Linked DNA regions of Lytechinus pictus. The protein of the gene in region 1 purifies or fractionates together with the protein of each later gene. This does not show direct contact. Links are inferred from orthologs where the notes say so. Each region holds a gene or a part of one and is shown on either strand. Other genes may lie near its edges.

What was found.
Region 2: the proteins of serine/threonine-protein phosphatase 2A regulatory subunit B'' subunit gamma-like (region 1) and centrosomal protein 43-like purify together in Homo sapiens (affinity purification with mass spectrometry; 3 studies listed by BioGRID and IntAct, counting the BioPlex papers as one, with this or other methods). This does not show direct contact. The link is inferred for Lytechinus pictus from reciprocal best matches to the Homo sapiens genes PPP2R3C and CEP43.

What each region holds. Positions count from the first base shown.
Region 1 is NC_087251.1:8,499,206-8,507,211, forward strand, and holds the start of serine/threonine-protein phosphatase 2A regulatory subunit B'' subunit gamma-like, read left to right. Parts: upstream 1-4,714; 5' UTR 4,715-4,775; coding exon 4,776-4,868; intron 4,869-6,898; coding exon 6,899-6,948; intron 6,949-7,611; coding exon 7,612-7,666; intron 7,667-8,006. UniProt on the Homo sapiens protein: May regulate MCM3AP phosphorylation through phosphatase recruitment. May act as a negative regulator of ABCB1 expression and function through the dephosphorylation of ABCB1 by TFPI2/PPP2R3C complex.
Region 2 is NC_087254.1:18,222,774-18,230,541, reverse strand, and holds the start of centrosomal protein 43-like, read right to left. Parts: upstream 3,297-7,768; 5' UTR 3,194-3,296; coding exon 3,113-3,193; intron 1-3,112. UniProt on the Homo sapiens protein: Required for anchoring microtubules to the centrosomes. Required for ciliation.

The DNA.
Region 1 (8,006 bases):
CACTTTACTAACATGAATATCAGTATGTAGGACTAAGAGTGAAATTTCATGGTATCTTTGGAAGAGTTTTAAAAGGTGAAGAAATAAAATATCATCATTGATTTTAACATATTTTGTCAATATCATACTAATAATTAACATACATGAAAATCAAGTTTAAAAATTATTTGTCCGGGGGTCAAACTCAAGGTCAAAGTAAAGGTCAAAGGTCACGACCTTATACATTGCTCCAATACATTATTTGATGCATGTTTTAGATTCCTCTCTGAATTTCCTAATAAATGGTACCTGTTTCATGAAAATTGGTCAACACGTTACGACGCAGTGGCCATTGAAAGTTGAGGGTCACGCCCATTTTTGTCAAAACAAGGAGAAAAGGGCGGGCCGTAGCGCGAGAACCGACGGACCAATTGGACTAATTTTTTTTGTTTTGTGCGTGGGCCATGGTGAATTTTATGTGTACCAATTTACAACGAATTCCGAGAGGGTCGGGTGCAAAATTGCACATTCATTGGGTGAATTGGCATGGAATGACCCTAAATCCTTATTCAAAATGATCATATAAACTTGTCCTTACTGTCAAAAGAAGCCCCTGAATTTTCTCTTTCCATACATGTCAAACACAAGTTAATCAATTCAGATCACATTTTTCTAGCAGCCTGAACTTCCCGAAAAAATGTGCCATTTTCCCCCCTAAATCAGCCTGTTTTATGTTGACACTTTTCAGTGTGGCTTCAGACACCCTAGTATTACCTCTGGTGAGCCTTCGCCGTCGAGAAAGCGCTAGCCCACTCACACGTATTGCGAGGCTAGTATGCTATACTAACGAATCCCCATACTAACCTCACACCACGTACGTGTTTACGCTACGGATTTTAGAGTTGTCGGTTAAGAATCGCTTCATACCACAAATAATGTTACTTAGCCGAAAACTCATTCCGCAACTCACCAGGGCTTTTTCTGGTGAAAAGCGTTCCAATTTCAATTTTACAAATATTTTTTTATGTAAAAAGCATATAAAAAAAGAGCAAAATCACTTACCTCGGGCTTGGCCTGGAAAGTTGCTTCGCATGTCTCTTCGACGGAAATAAAACTAAGGAAGGTTGTTGATGGCGCTAAAGCCAAGTAAAAAAAGAAAGTAGTTGATCGTCCTCGCGCGCATCTATTTTGGCTGCCGCATGAAATTTTTTACTATTTACTATTTTCAAAAATTGGCTAAAAAAATATCAAAAAGTGATGTTTCTCGCCCGCTTCCCTTTTTGATTGCCGCATCAATTTTATTCATATTTACTATTATTATGGCTGCTGAAAAGCTAAAAAAATACACAAAATTGGCGAGCGATTTGCTCTCATGTGCTCTCGGATCTCTTGCACCTTCCTAAAACAATTGCAAAGTCCGATGTCGCCAATGAACTGCAATAAAGAAAAAAATTCTGATTTGGTTTTTTATTGGTAATTTGAAGATACAATCATAAATTAGCGAGAAAGTAAAGTTTGCAAACTCTGAAAAAATCACAGATTTCTTCATTTTTATTGCATTTTCGGGGACCCCGCTTCCTGAATGTGAACAAATCTGTCGCGTGCTTTGGAAATATGGTGCAGAAAAATCAATTTTAATGACGTAATTTGTATTTCAGGGTTTTTTTTTTGTGAGTGATAGCGCCTGTACCCGGGCCTGTACTTCGATGTGTGTTGCGGTGATTGCCCGGGGGGGGGGGGGGCACTTACATTGACGAGTGGATAACAAAAAAAACACGTAAAAAGGATGTCTTTTTCAAGATGGGGCATGTTACGTAAGTAATGTAATAAGGGTGTCAAAAACACTAAAATAATGAAAAAAGGGTATCTATTTTCGCTAGAAAAGCTACGTGTTTAGGGTAAAATTTGCGAGGGTGTAAAAAATTAAGACTGAAATGTTTTATAAAGGATGTACTTTTTGCCCCAAGAGTCAACACTACGTGTTTAGAGTACGATTTGCGCGAGATGTGGGAGGTGGGCCGGGCTGTACTAAACCCAATGATGTGGGTAAAGGTAAAGCCGACGACCGACGTAACAATAAAAATATCGCTGTACTTGTTTAGGGGGCCAATTCAGGGAGTATCATTTTGTTTCCAATACTTGTTAAAGGACAAGTCCAACCCAACAGAAAGATGATTTGAATAGAAAAAGAAAATTCAAACAAGCAGAACACTGAAAATTTCATCAAAATTGGATGTAAAATAAGAAAGTTATGACATTTTAAAGTTTCGTTAAATTTCACAAAACAGAACATATGCACATCCTGGTCAGTATGCAAATGATGACATCACCCACTCACTATTTCTTTTGTATTTTATTATATGAAATATCCTAATTTTCTCCTCATTGTCATGGGAAACAAAGTTTCATTCCCCCCTGAACATGTGGAATTCGATTGTTTTTCTTCAGTTAGATGCACATCTTTTTAATTATTGCAAAAAAATGCTCAGAATGTGTTATCTTCATTTCTTGTTGAAATGTCCAAAAGTTTTAGCTTGTGATTCATGCTCGAAACAACTCCCAAGGATGCCCTTTTAACAGTTAATTGACCAAAAAACGAGTTATACAACATCAGTTTTGAAATTTTGTCCAAACCGCTCGTTACACTCTCGCGAAAAATAAAGCCTAACTATATATCTTACCATAATCAGAAATCACTTTAAAAAGGCTTTGCTCTACTTTACTCTACTTTGCTCCGCCGCCCTTCTTTTTGCCTCCCCATCCTCATTACAATTGAACAGCAATGGAGTTTCTCTCCCCCCCCCCCCTCCACCATGCTTACCCTTCCGGTCTTCCTAACTTCACCACCGATTATTTCATTTTTTTGATTAACGAACCTTCGGAACAACAAATCTTATTTCGTTTTCGGATTATCAAACCTTCTGAATAAGGAACCTTATTTTGTTTTGGACTAACAAACCTTCAGGATAACAAACCTTATTTCGTCTTCGGACTAACGAACCTTCGTATTAAATAACGAACCTTATTTCGTTTTCGACTGACGAACCTTCAGAATTACGAACCTTCGGAATAACGCCACAAATGTTCAGATTAACGTTTTCGGATTAAAGAAAATCGAGGTAATAGGCAATTTACATGTTTCGGAATTACGAAGTGTAACCGCCTTTTTTATCAAAAAGTGACACAGGCTGTCACTGGTGTTTTAGAGCGAGTATTTATCGCCGATGGTTCAGGTAGGTGTAGCGGTAGTGAAGTGTAGTGGAGCCTATATATGCACCCACCCACGGGTGCATTACATGCCGCTGTGCACAGGAAAATTGTAGACATGGCGCATGCAACACTTGCACTTAGATTTTTACAAGAATAACAATATTCTACGAAACTTACCGAATGATATGAATCAAATTTTTGCTAATCCTAAAATACTACATTTAAGCGCTGATTTCTCTTCTCGTTGATGAACTGAGGAGTTAACTCGCATTTCCCGAATTTTACCTCTAAAGAGGGTGCTCAATTCATATTCATAACAAAGACACTACAAAGGAAAGACTAGGCACTAAAATTATTTTACACGTAAATCGATGCAAAGCATTACGTGAAGTCGGCAAATTGTCCACTATAGACTTTGGTCGAATGTTTGTTGACAAATGAATGGTAGCTCGCACTGCTGGCTTCGTTCAAGGCACGTATAATTTTCTATTGTTTTGTTTTATGTGTAATTACTTTTAGTGTTTTCCAAAAAGTTTTATTGTCAGTAATCCGGCCCAAAGCGCCGAAGGGCCAGATGAGCTTGTGGCGTGGCGTCCGTCGTCTGTCCACAATTTCAAAATGCTTCTTCTTGGTCATTTCAAGTCCGATTTCAATTCTGTTTGCTTTTTTTTATAGCACTAGGTTGGGGATTCAAAACTTTTACAAAGAATTTTGAAACTCATTAAATATGCTAATTTATGCACATTTTTCAAAATTCACAAAAAATGCTTCTTTATTTGTTTTCCGATTTTAATTTTTATGCTTCCTTCTGGTAGAGCTTCATGAGTTTCACTAAACTTCTACACAGAATTTTGAAGAGAAAAAATTTTATGCTAAAATTGCAAAATCGATTTATGCGTATTTTTCCAAATTCACATAAAATACTTCTTCTTTATTTGCCAATTTTTTTCTTCTTCCGTCTGGTAGAGCTTCATAGGTTCACCAAACTTCTACACAGAATTTTGAGTAGAAAGTTATTTATGTTAAGTTATGCAAAATTTATTCATAAATCCTAGAAAATGCCTCTTTTATTTGTTGACTGATTTGATTTTTTTTCTTCCATCTGGTAGAGCTGCATGAGGTTCACCAAACTTGTACACAGTATTTTGAAATTTCGACCAGAAAATTACTTACGCTAATTTTTGCAAAATTTATTCATAATCACAAATGTCTGCTTCTTATTTATTTGTTGACATTTTATTTAAATTTTTTTTTGTTCCATCAGTGAGCTACATGAGGTTCACCAAGGTTCTACACAGAATTTAGAAATTTTGACTAGAAAATTATTTATGCTTATTTATACGAATTTTTTTCTTCATAAATTAGAAAAATTGCTTCTTTTTTGTAATTTCTTCATCAATTTCAATTCTGTTTCCTCAATTTATGTCACCAATATAATTCTCTACAGTGTCAACTTGGCTGAAATTAAAAATTGTGTTAAATTTCTTTGCGAGATGCTGGATGAGCTCCACATCATTAATGTGCTAGTTTCACTCTTTCTTTGAATATGTTCAGGTAAAACAGAAGGAGACAAAAAGGCAGAAGAAATGGAGATGTTCACAAAACTTTACACTGAAATGAAAGGTCCAGATAAAAAGCAAGACAAGACTCTCAGTGCCATTCCCAGATTTTATTTCAAAGTAAGTAATTATTCAGAGAATTTTTTTTGTCAGTAGGGCCAAGATTAGATGGTGGATTCAGGTCAACAGTTTTTATTTCAAGTCTTGTTAAAAATCACTGTATTAATCAAAATCCTTTTTGTTCATTTCGAAAGTTGCACTGTTATATCAGAGGGTGTTCCTGATTTATATTCCTTTATCTTGGCCTTTGTGACATCTTTGATACTCTATAATGTGATTCATATTGCAGCTTCAAAAAACAGAATTAAGCTATACAATTTGTATGTGTCAAGTTTAAGATTTTTGCCTTGCCTAAACAAAGTTTGGCAGAGACCTAGGAATCCCCTTTCCTGTTAGTCTGATGGTCTGTTACATAAATGTTAAAGTTTTTGTTTAACTTGCTATCATTTCTTTATTATCTCGCCCACCAGAGGTGAAGGCGAGACTAAGGGATCCAAATGTCGTCCGTCATCCGTCCGTCACAAACCTAATGACACAAAACTCCACAACCGTAAGTCGCTTTTCAACCAAACTTGGATGGTAGATGGACTTGGGGGACCTGCATGTTATGCTGCAGTCGGAGGTCACATGGTAAGATCAAAGGTCATTTTCAGGTCAACGTTAAAGTTTACATGCAAGACTCCACATGTGAAGTTTACATGTGAAGTTTACATGTGAAGTTTACATGTGAAGCGTGTAAGGTCACATGGTAAGGTCAAAGGTCATTTTCAGGTCACGTTAAAGTTTACAAGTTTACATGTGGAGTTTACATGTGGTTTACATGTGGAGTTTACATGTGGAGCGTTGTGGCCCAGTGGATTAGTCTTCGGACTTTGAAACAGAGGGTCGTGGGTTCGAATCCCAGCCATAGCGTAATTTCCTTCGGCAAGAAACTTATCCACATTGTGCTGCACTCGACCCAGGTGAGGTAAATGGGTACCCGGCAGGATTAATTCCTTGAATGCTTGAGCGCCTAGGCAGCCCAGCTAAAGCCGGGGTAATAATAGCAGGGCCCGCTGGGAGAACAGTTTTCGGAACTGAAGCAGCTACCCTGGGTAAATATACCGCTATTATTATTATTATTATTATTACAAGCAAGACTCTCTTATGACACCTAACTCCGCAACCGTAAGTCACTTTTCAACCAAACTTGGATAGTAGATGGACTTGGGGGACCTGCATGTGATGCTGCAGTCAGAGGTCACATAGTAAGGTCAAAGGTCATTTTCAGGTCAACGTTAAAGTTTACATGCAAGACTCTCTTATGACACCTAACTCCGCAACCATAGGTCACTTGTCAACCAAACTTGGATGGTAGATGGACTTGGGGGACCTGCATGTTATGCTGCAGTCAAAGGTCACATGGTTAGGTCAAAGGTAATTTTCAGGTCAATGTTAAAGTTTACATGCAAGACTCTCTTATGACACCTAACTCTGCAACCGTAAGTCGCTTTTCAACCAAACTTGGATGGTAGATGGACTTTGGGGACCTGCATGTTATGCTGCAGTCGGAGATCACATGGTTAGGTCAAAGGTCATTTTCAGGTCAACTTTAAAGTTTACATGCAAGACTCTTATGACACCTAACTCCGCAACCGTAAATCACTTTTCAACCAAACTTGGATGGAAGATGTACTTAGGCGACCTGCATGTTATGCTGCAGTCGGAGATCACATGGTAAGGTCAAAGGTCATTTTCAGGTCAACATTAAGTTTACGTACAAGGCTCTTAGGACAAGAGTTATTCTCTCCCAGTCATTTCACAATGAAGTTTCGATACAATTCTGTTGCGTGCCCTCGCAAATCACGATATTTCTGGTTATTTTCATAAGGCGCGAGACACAAAATCGCTTTTGCCTTGTTTCTGCATCTGATTGATGTCTCAATTAGTCTACTTTAATTCCATGATTGTAGACTTTGCAACTTCTATTGTATTTTCTCTTTATTAAAGTAAGATTGGAACTAGTACTGTACAATAATAGTTCTAAGCTGATTGTTTTGGGGTGCTCTGTGTACTTTGATTGTGAATTCATGTTGTTTTATTTGATATAGTTACCAGGTGAAGATGATGTACTGCTTCAAAAATTAAGAGAGGAATCCAGGTAAGATATTTTTTTGTGAATGCAGGTAAAAAGCATCAAGAATGCACATAATTTGTGAAAAGTACACACCACCAATGTTTATTATCATTTCTTTATTGTGCGGTGTTCTCTTTTCCTCTCTTTATGCCGCCACCAACCATAGATGGTTTGTGAGGCAATTTATGTTTTGGGGGTCATCACTCTGTTTATTTGCCCTGTTTTTATTTTGATAAAAGAGTGATCTTCTGCTTAGCCCATGTAAGGAGAGATGTTATTTGGGGGTCATGAGGTCAAAGGTCACAGTGGTCATTATATACATTGAAACATTTTGTTCTCCAATAACTGGAGAACTGACTGAGAGATCAACTTCAAGCTAACAAATAACAGATATGAAAATATAGAAACTCTCTTGAACATTATATTATTAGATCATGTGTGAGAGGGGAACAAGTAGATCTTCAGTTGAGACTTGAATTCAGCAAATAAAAAAAAAAGGAAGAAAATATTAGTGCAATTGCAATTACAATCCAGTTGTGAAGTGAGAGTTATACTTGGTTTTAAGTTAAATGCAGTATATGTATTTAAGATCTGGTAATAGTTGTAGCCTGCGGATGTAGACTGCGTGAAGTAAAAATTGAATAATTCATGTACATGTATGTTTTTCTATTGGTTGATCTTATTTAGAGCCGTTTTTTTGCAAAGGAGGAGTAGAGAGCTACTAGATAATGAAGAGCTGCAGGTATATCATTGTTTTGTTTTGTTTATTGAATATTTTGATAAATATACAACACCCCTTACCCTTTCCTCTTCAACCAAGTATGAATACCCACATAACACTGCATCAAAGTCAATAGAAAGGTAATAATGTGAAAAGACATTTAAAGGCCAATTCATTCTCAGTGAGCAAGTTGATTTGAATGGTAAAACCAATAAAAATCAAACAAGCATAATACTGAAAATTTCATAGTAATCCAATGTTGAATAAAAAAAGTTATGACATTGTAATTTTTTTGTTAAATTCATAAAATGTGTTAACTGCATGTACAATGCATATTATATGTAAATGAGATAGATAGTCC
Region 2 (7,768 bases), on another chromosome or scaffold:
AAGCAATGAGGGAGTTGTACGTGTGTGACATCACAGATCTTGGTCGCATTGCCAATGGGAGGATCTACATGGCATTAGTGATCTCAATATTCAAATGCTCATAACTTTCTTATTATTCGTTCAATCTTCCTCAAACTTTCAACAATATGTTTCTTTGATTTTTCTCTTTGATATGGATTCAGCTGGTTTCAAGGGTTTCATTCTCCTTGAAGTTGGTCCTTAAGTTAAAGTCAAATTGGTAAAAAATTCAATATTGTATGATTCAAACAATTAAAAAAATAGTGAATGATGGACTTCTCGACTCTCTCATTTGCATGTGATGTCACTGAGTTGTGAATAGAATTAAAACTGTTTTTTGAAAAATAAACGAAATGTCATACCTTTCTTATTTTATATCCAATTTCGATGCGAAAGATCCCATTCTATATAGTCATGAATTGAGTAGGTATGTGACAAAAAAATGAAAATCATCAAATATCAATAAATTTGGTAACATTTGAAAGCTCTTGAAAAGATCTTTCATATAATACCAAGAACTCTAATTTTCATCAAGAACTTATAAAGTTATTCCAGTTTGAGTCGCGCATATTCATCCAAATTTGTGGTCATTGTCTTAATGTAAAGTCAATGTAATACAGAACCGATTTTTGTGACCATTTTGTGAACATTTTGAACCCAAGTCTTCAACAGGCTCTAACTGCTTTGTTTTTTAGCCCTTTGAAGTAATTTAGGTATCAATGGAAAGGTGAAAGAAAGCTCAACTGATGTGTAATCATTTCACTTTGTAATTTTTCTTCTTAATATGTGTAAAATAATTTATTCTAATTAAAGGAATGAAACCCTTGAAACCAGCTGAATCCATATCAAAGAGAAAAATCAAAGAAACATATTGTTGAAAGTTTGAGGAAGATTGAATGAATAATAAGAAAGTTATGAGCATTTGAATATTGAGATCACTAATGCCATGTAGATCCTCCCATTGGCAATGCGACCAAGATCTGTGATGTCACACACGTACAACTCCCTCATTACTTTAGTACTTATTTCACTTATATTCTCACTTTTATAGAGTCTATCACAAAGTGAGGTGTTCTCTTTATGAGAGGAAAAGTACAGAGGTTTCACAACATTATATAATTGATGAATCGTTTGTCATATGATAAGAATGAGCAAAAAGAGATGTTTTGGGGTATATTTTCAGTGTCCAAAAGGGGAGAGTTGTTCATCTGTGACATCGTAGATCTTGGTCGCATTGCCAATCGGAGGATCTCCATAGCATTAGTGATCTCGACATTCAAATGCTCATAACTCTTCTATTGCTAGTCCTATTTTACTCAAGCTTTTGTTGATCTTATTCTTTGATTTTTCTGCTTTCACAAAAGCTAACTTGCTTCAAGAGTTTCATTCTCCTTTAATTCTAATTAATTATGCAAATTACGCAAAATCACAAATACTCGCCTCTTTTTTTGCCAAATGAAGGTGATCATGAATGATAGATAATTTATATAATTTAGTTGGCATCAAAACAGCATCATGTAGATAATTTCCTAAATGAATTTGTTTAAAATATTGTTTTTGTAAAGAAATTTTCTGATTTAAATTACAAGCTCTTTTTCAACTTTAGTATTGTATACATAAATGTATGTACGGAGGTCTTTTTTTACATATGAAAATTATCATTCCTTTTGTACTTTGTATGACCAAATGAAAATACAAGTGTGCTATTTTCTGATGTATTTGATTGTTTCACCGATTCCTTATGTATTCTTTTGTTTCAACAATTTGTTATACATGTATAATATGTAGCTTTTGATGTTAGAGACAATGGACATTTGATTACAATTATTTTAGGAGGGATGAGCAGCTGAGTGTATGTGTACGTAGCATTGTATGCAATTTATTACAAATATCAAGAACGATAAAAATAAAGCTTTAATATATTCTATCGGTTTTCAATGCATTTCTTAGATTTGTATACTGTACATACATTGTATTACAAAGGCCCTGTTTGAGCTATCTTTTTTTAAGAAAAATAAATAAATTCAGATTCTAGAGTGAAATCACTGCACATAAATGTACACAATTTTTTACACAACTTCCATACTATTATGAAACAAAACAAGAAAATTAGCAAGATTTTGTGGAAAAGAACTTAACAATCCAAATTTACCAATCTCCCCATGGACATGATAGATAGACTTGAAAGGCACAAAAGTATTAGTTGAAGCCAAAAGAAAAGGAAAAGAGTGGTCTATTTCTTTCAAAACAAAACAAAAAACAACCAGGAAAAAACAGATATCAAAGCTCTAAAAGATGAATAATTTTTAGATAAAAATTATTATTTCACAAATACTAAAATTTATTACGTCATACGTGATTAGGCCTATAAATAATTAGGGCCTATTAGTATTTTTATACTAATTATTTATAATTACGTGATAAATTTTAACATTTGCGAAGTAATATTTTTTTCTATAAATTATTCATCAGAACGGCATCGCTAGCCGGAAGTACGTCATACGTAAGCGGTTCAAGGGTCGACGCTATTGAAGTTTGCGTTGTTTACATGTGGATCGAGGGGTCTACTCGGTATCAGTTAGGTAAGAAACCTTAATTTTTTCACATTTTTATATTATAATTTTTAAAACCTTCCTACGCATTAGGCGTAGGAAGGTGTAAAAATCAATGAAATTCATAAAATTCAAGTTATTTTTGTTTCAAAAGATGGATTTCCGAGGGAAATCCATCTTATGATCTTTGTTTTGGCCCTTCTCTTCTCACTTCTGCGACTAAGGGAAGAGTGTCAAAACGAAAGTCAAAAAGAAGTATATTTCATTATTTTAAAAGTCATCATCATTGCGTCCTCAAGACTAGAGAGAGTATCAGAGCGAGGAGCGAGGAGCCTACGCCACGGTACACGAACGTCACGGGTAGCGAAGGTGAAGCTTCGCGGGCCCTGCATGCCGCGCCGCAGCCGACTTCCCTGACCCTGGCTCGCTCGGCCCGGCCCTGCAGTGGCATGGCCCGAGGCCGAGCGCGAGACGAGTACCAGTACGTACCGCCACAGGCACAGCTCACAGGGAGTGGCACAGGCCAGGCAAACGAAACTTACCCGAATCTTCCCAAGGACCCCATTATTCTCCAATGTTTGAGCAATGAGGTCTCTTAATTCTGTGTCTTCGTCAGCAGACATGATGGCACTTTGGTAGGGTAAATTGTTCCAAATCGAGTACAAGTCCAAATGAATGTAAGAGCCAAAAAAATAATTGAAGTTATCTTGCAGAGATAGTAGTCGGCAAGGCTAAGTATGGTGTCTACAAAGGGGATTCAGGGGGGAAAAACTATGACTCTCTATGGCGAAAATACTGTAGTCCATTTGACTGGTTGCCAAATAAAAAAAGACCCCCCCCCCCCCGCCTCATACAGTTCAATACAATACAATTCAATTCACAATAATGTGTAAAACGTTGTACGGTCAGTAATTAATTCATGTTTACAAACGGATGACCCAAAAATAAGGTTGTAATTATAGCCGCTATATAAATATACTTTTGTGATGTAATTTGCTACTGCATGTCTGTGAATCTTGAATAGACCATCAGGTTAAGAATAATTCTTAGGAATGACTATTGACTCTAACCAAAATAAGACCCTCACTTAAAGGGAAGTAGGGCCTACACCCTGACGAAAAGTTTGTTGTAAAACTACCCGGATAAAATTTGGTAAAGAAGCCTTGAGAAAAATCATATAGATTAAGAAATTTAATAAAATTTGAAATTTTTTATTTGACGTCATGTACGAGCAGCTGCCCTAAGTGTAATGCAATCTAAAATGCATTAATTCAATTTTGAATGGTTCATGATGACTATAATATATTTTTTGTCATTCAGGAGCAGATGCAAATAATAATAATAATAATATTCCGCATTTATATAGCGCTTAATACATCGGAACGACGTCTCTAAGCGCTTTACAGACATATTATTACAGGCAAATGATTTGCCTGTTGACATACAGGTTCAATAAAATCATTTAAGTGTATTGCGCTTTTGTAACCGGAATGAAAAGGCGATAACTTATACATCAAATGATTATTGCATTGGAAAATGAAATTTCATTGATTTTTTCTTTGTTTTTTTTTCATTCACGATAAGCTATATAACTCGCATTATGACGTCACATAAAAAAAATAAATTCTGATAACTTTCTAAATCTTTAATCGGTATCATCATCAACAATTAACTTTTTTTTTTTTTTATGTTATCAACAATTAACTTCATATCTACGTACAACAACATCATTTTTTATTCCCGCTTTTATTACAGCAAGGATGGGTTCCATCGTCTCGCTTTTGTTGAAAAAAAAAACCCAGTAATTATCATAAAATTATCATGTGAGGTTTTCTCCTTGAATGACAGGACCGGGACAGGACAACTTCAAATCGCGATTTGAATTCCCCATTTTTTCCGTCATTAGCAAAGTACGCTAAAATAGGACAGGCTATAATGGTCAGTGGTCACTGGGCCGATTGGGGCAGAGTGTACGCCCCGTGTACGCCCGATGATTTGTTTCCTTTCAGTTTTTGCTTTTATTTAAACCCCGGTGGGATGAGTGTTTCCGAGAATCATTTGATGATTTTTTTATATAAATAATTGTGAAAGCATTTACAGGTATAACAGTGAAAAGGGCTTCTCGAACTGATAATATCTGGGCTGTTTTTTTTTTTTTTTTGGGGGGGGGGTGTCTGATTTGCCAGTGATCTGATCCCCAGGAGTAATTAAAAAAGACGGTCTTTGACCTCAACTGTCAAAAATTCGACACTCGCCTGCCAAGAACAAAAATTGCCTTTTGTGTACTCCTCCCGGACTCCTCCCCCTTCCTTTAATGGGCTATCCCACATATTTGGAAATTTCAGGGAAAATTGTATTAATTGTCCTCTAGCTTTTTCGTTCCTATCATGAAAAGTAAAATATAATAGCCTTTTGAGACATTATTTATGGCATTGGCGTAGCCAGGAGATATCAGTAGGCGGGGCGGGAACATGGCGAGCGAACTTAAAATTTTGTGCATTTCCCTTATACTCAATTATATTTTTTTCGGTATAAAGTGATGAATACATTCGTTTTATATTTTTTTCGGTATTTTTAGTTTTTTCGGTATAAAGTTTGAATACATTCTTTTTTTACTCTCTCTCTCTTTCCTTTTCTCCTTTGCTTTTTTCTTTTCCTTTTTCTTTCTAACTTTCTCTCATTTTTCTTTCGTCCTTATTCCTTCTTCCTTCCATCTTCTTCCATTCCTCCCTTTCCCTTCATTTTTTCTTTCTTTCTTTCTGTCAGTCTGTCTGTCTGTATGTCTTTCTTTCTTTCTTTATTTATTTATTTCTTTCTTTCCCTTCCTTGCTTTTCCCTTCAGTCGGTAGAGCGGGGCGGGTTTCGGATTCCGATGACCCGGGTTCGATTCCCAATTGGTGAGCTCTTGCCAAAGTTTGGTAAGGCATTAATCCATAGACGGATCCAGGGGGCCGATCGAGGGGCACGCCCGCCACTTTTGAAATGGCTGCCAAATAAAAAATATATCACTTTTGGGGGAAAGACTCATATGGAAAGCCAATAAAGTCAACTTTCAAATGACACCAAAAGTTGGAAAACTACTCATGCTTGAGCGAGCACTGCCCACTGAAATAAAGGGTAAGAAAATTCTGTGCCGGAATTAGCCTTCCAATTTCTTTCCGTTTTTTTTTTGGGGGGGGAGGGGGGAACTTTTGAGGGTTTGAGGGTTTTATGATGAATTAATGATCAATTGTGATCAGTTTGTTATCACATTGAAATTTAATGAATGAGTGATCATGAATTGCAATTTTAGTGCAGCATTTGACTTTATCATGTGGATCTCAGCAATGTGTCCATGAGAGTCAGGAGAATAGGGGGTAAGATAGAACTTAAGTAGGTGAAGTACGTTGATGGGATAAAGGTCAACAGAACATTTAGCAACCCCTCCCTCCATCTCTAACCCCCCCCCCCCTTCTCTCCTAGCTCCTGAGAGACTATAAGCTTGGCTATATAGGCTGGGCGGGAATTGGCTGCCTTACAATTATTTTGAGAGCTTAGTCCTTCGGAACTTGCAAAGCTAGGGGTGTTATGTTAAATTGATTATGTACTCCCCTCCACCTCGATCCATTTCCCCGGTTTCTTCTCCCCCCCCCTCTCTCTCTCTTCTCTCTCTCCCTCTCCACCTCTCTATTTCTCTCTCACTTCCTGGATTGTAGCCCGATTCAGAACTTAACTGCCAAGTGACCGGTGGCTGATGGTCAGTTTTTTTTCTCTTTTTATTGAATGGTTACCAAAATTGACTGATTATGATGATTTATGAAAAAAAAATATTGAAAAAAATGAATGTTTGATTGATCACATTGAATGAGTTGATTCATGATAAATTGTTGATTAAATGATCGATTGATAGGAAAAAGTTGATGCCTCAATTCAGAATTCATCATTAACATGATTAAATCAACATTCTGCTCTGGACTTCACGCGTACATGACAATAGCAATCAGTCTCTCAACAGGAGGGGAGGGCGGGAGAGAGGGAGGGGAGGCTAAATTTTCTGTAACGTTGACCCTTATTCAATCAACCTACTTCACCCCCTATATTCCCCCGACTCCCATTAACACATTGCTGAGATCCACATGATAAAGTTGAAAGGCTGCCCCCAAAAAGTGCAATTTGTGCTCACTCATGCATTAAAGTTCAATTTAATAATTTATGAAATTTGCTTAAACAACCAAAACTGGCCACGGTTGATCATTAAGTTCCGAAGGATTTGTCTCTCAAAGAAACTGACATAAATTGGAAGGCTATAATTCCGGCCCAGCCTAATTTTGATACCGTTTGTTTCAGTGCAGGGCTACCCCCTTCAAAGAAACAAACAAATCAACTTTGAGCGTGGCCGATCGGGGAAAATATGAGTGAATATTTTTTTCCGCCCCCCCCCCCCCACTGGCGAAAGCTGGATCCGCCCCTGTTAATCTTCATTATTACCATGTCCCTCGGAGAGGACCTTAAGCAGTCGGTCCTCTGGTTCTTACTTACAAGCATTCCTGCTTTCTTAGCCGCTACAGGTAAACATTTTCTTTAAACCTTCACCATTATTTACTCTTGATGTTTTCTGCTGCTTTTGAAAAGAAAATAATCTTCTAATACCTTTTTAATATCTTTGATGGATTTTCTCAGACCTTCACCATTGCGTTTTGTTTTTATTCTGCCATTTTTAAAAGTCAGGGTGAATATTTCCCATCTAAACAAATATGGAAAATATTTATCCTCATGAAGCAGGCCGATATATGATCGAGTCGTATAAATGCAAATATTCCGGACAAAATCTATTCTCTTCAAACATTTTCCAGGATCAACTTTTAAAGCTCGATCCCCATTAAGGAATAATTCCGCTTAATTCTTGTGAAAATCAGGGGAAAATCATTTCAATCACAATTCGATATTCCAAACTTCCGATCTGTAAAAAAAAAAATTTAAGCACCAAAATCTATTTCTAACGATACGAAAAGGGAAGGCGAGGAGAATAGCAAGAAAAAAAGTAGGCGACTGAAATACTCATTAAAACAAGGGAGAGGATCGTGAAAGGAAAACTATCAGGTCACAACTAGAAAGAAAGCCTGAAGAAAGGAAGAAAGAAAGGAAGGAAGGAAGGGAGGAAGGAAGAAAGAATTCAAAGAAGAAAGAAAAAAAGATCGAGAAAGAAAACTTTCAGGTCA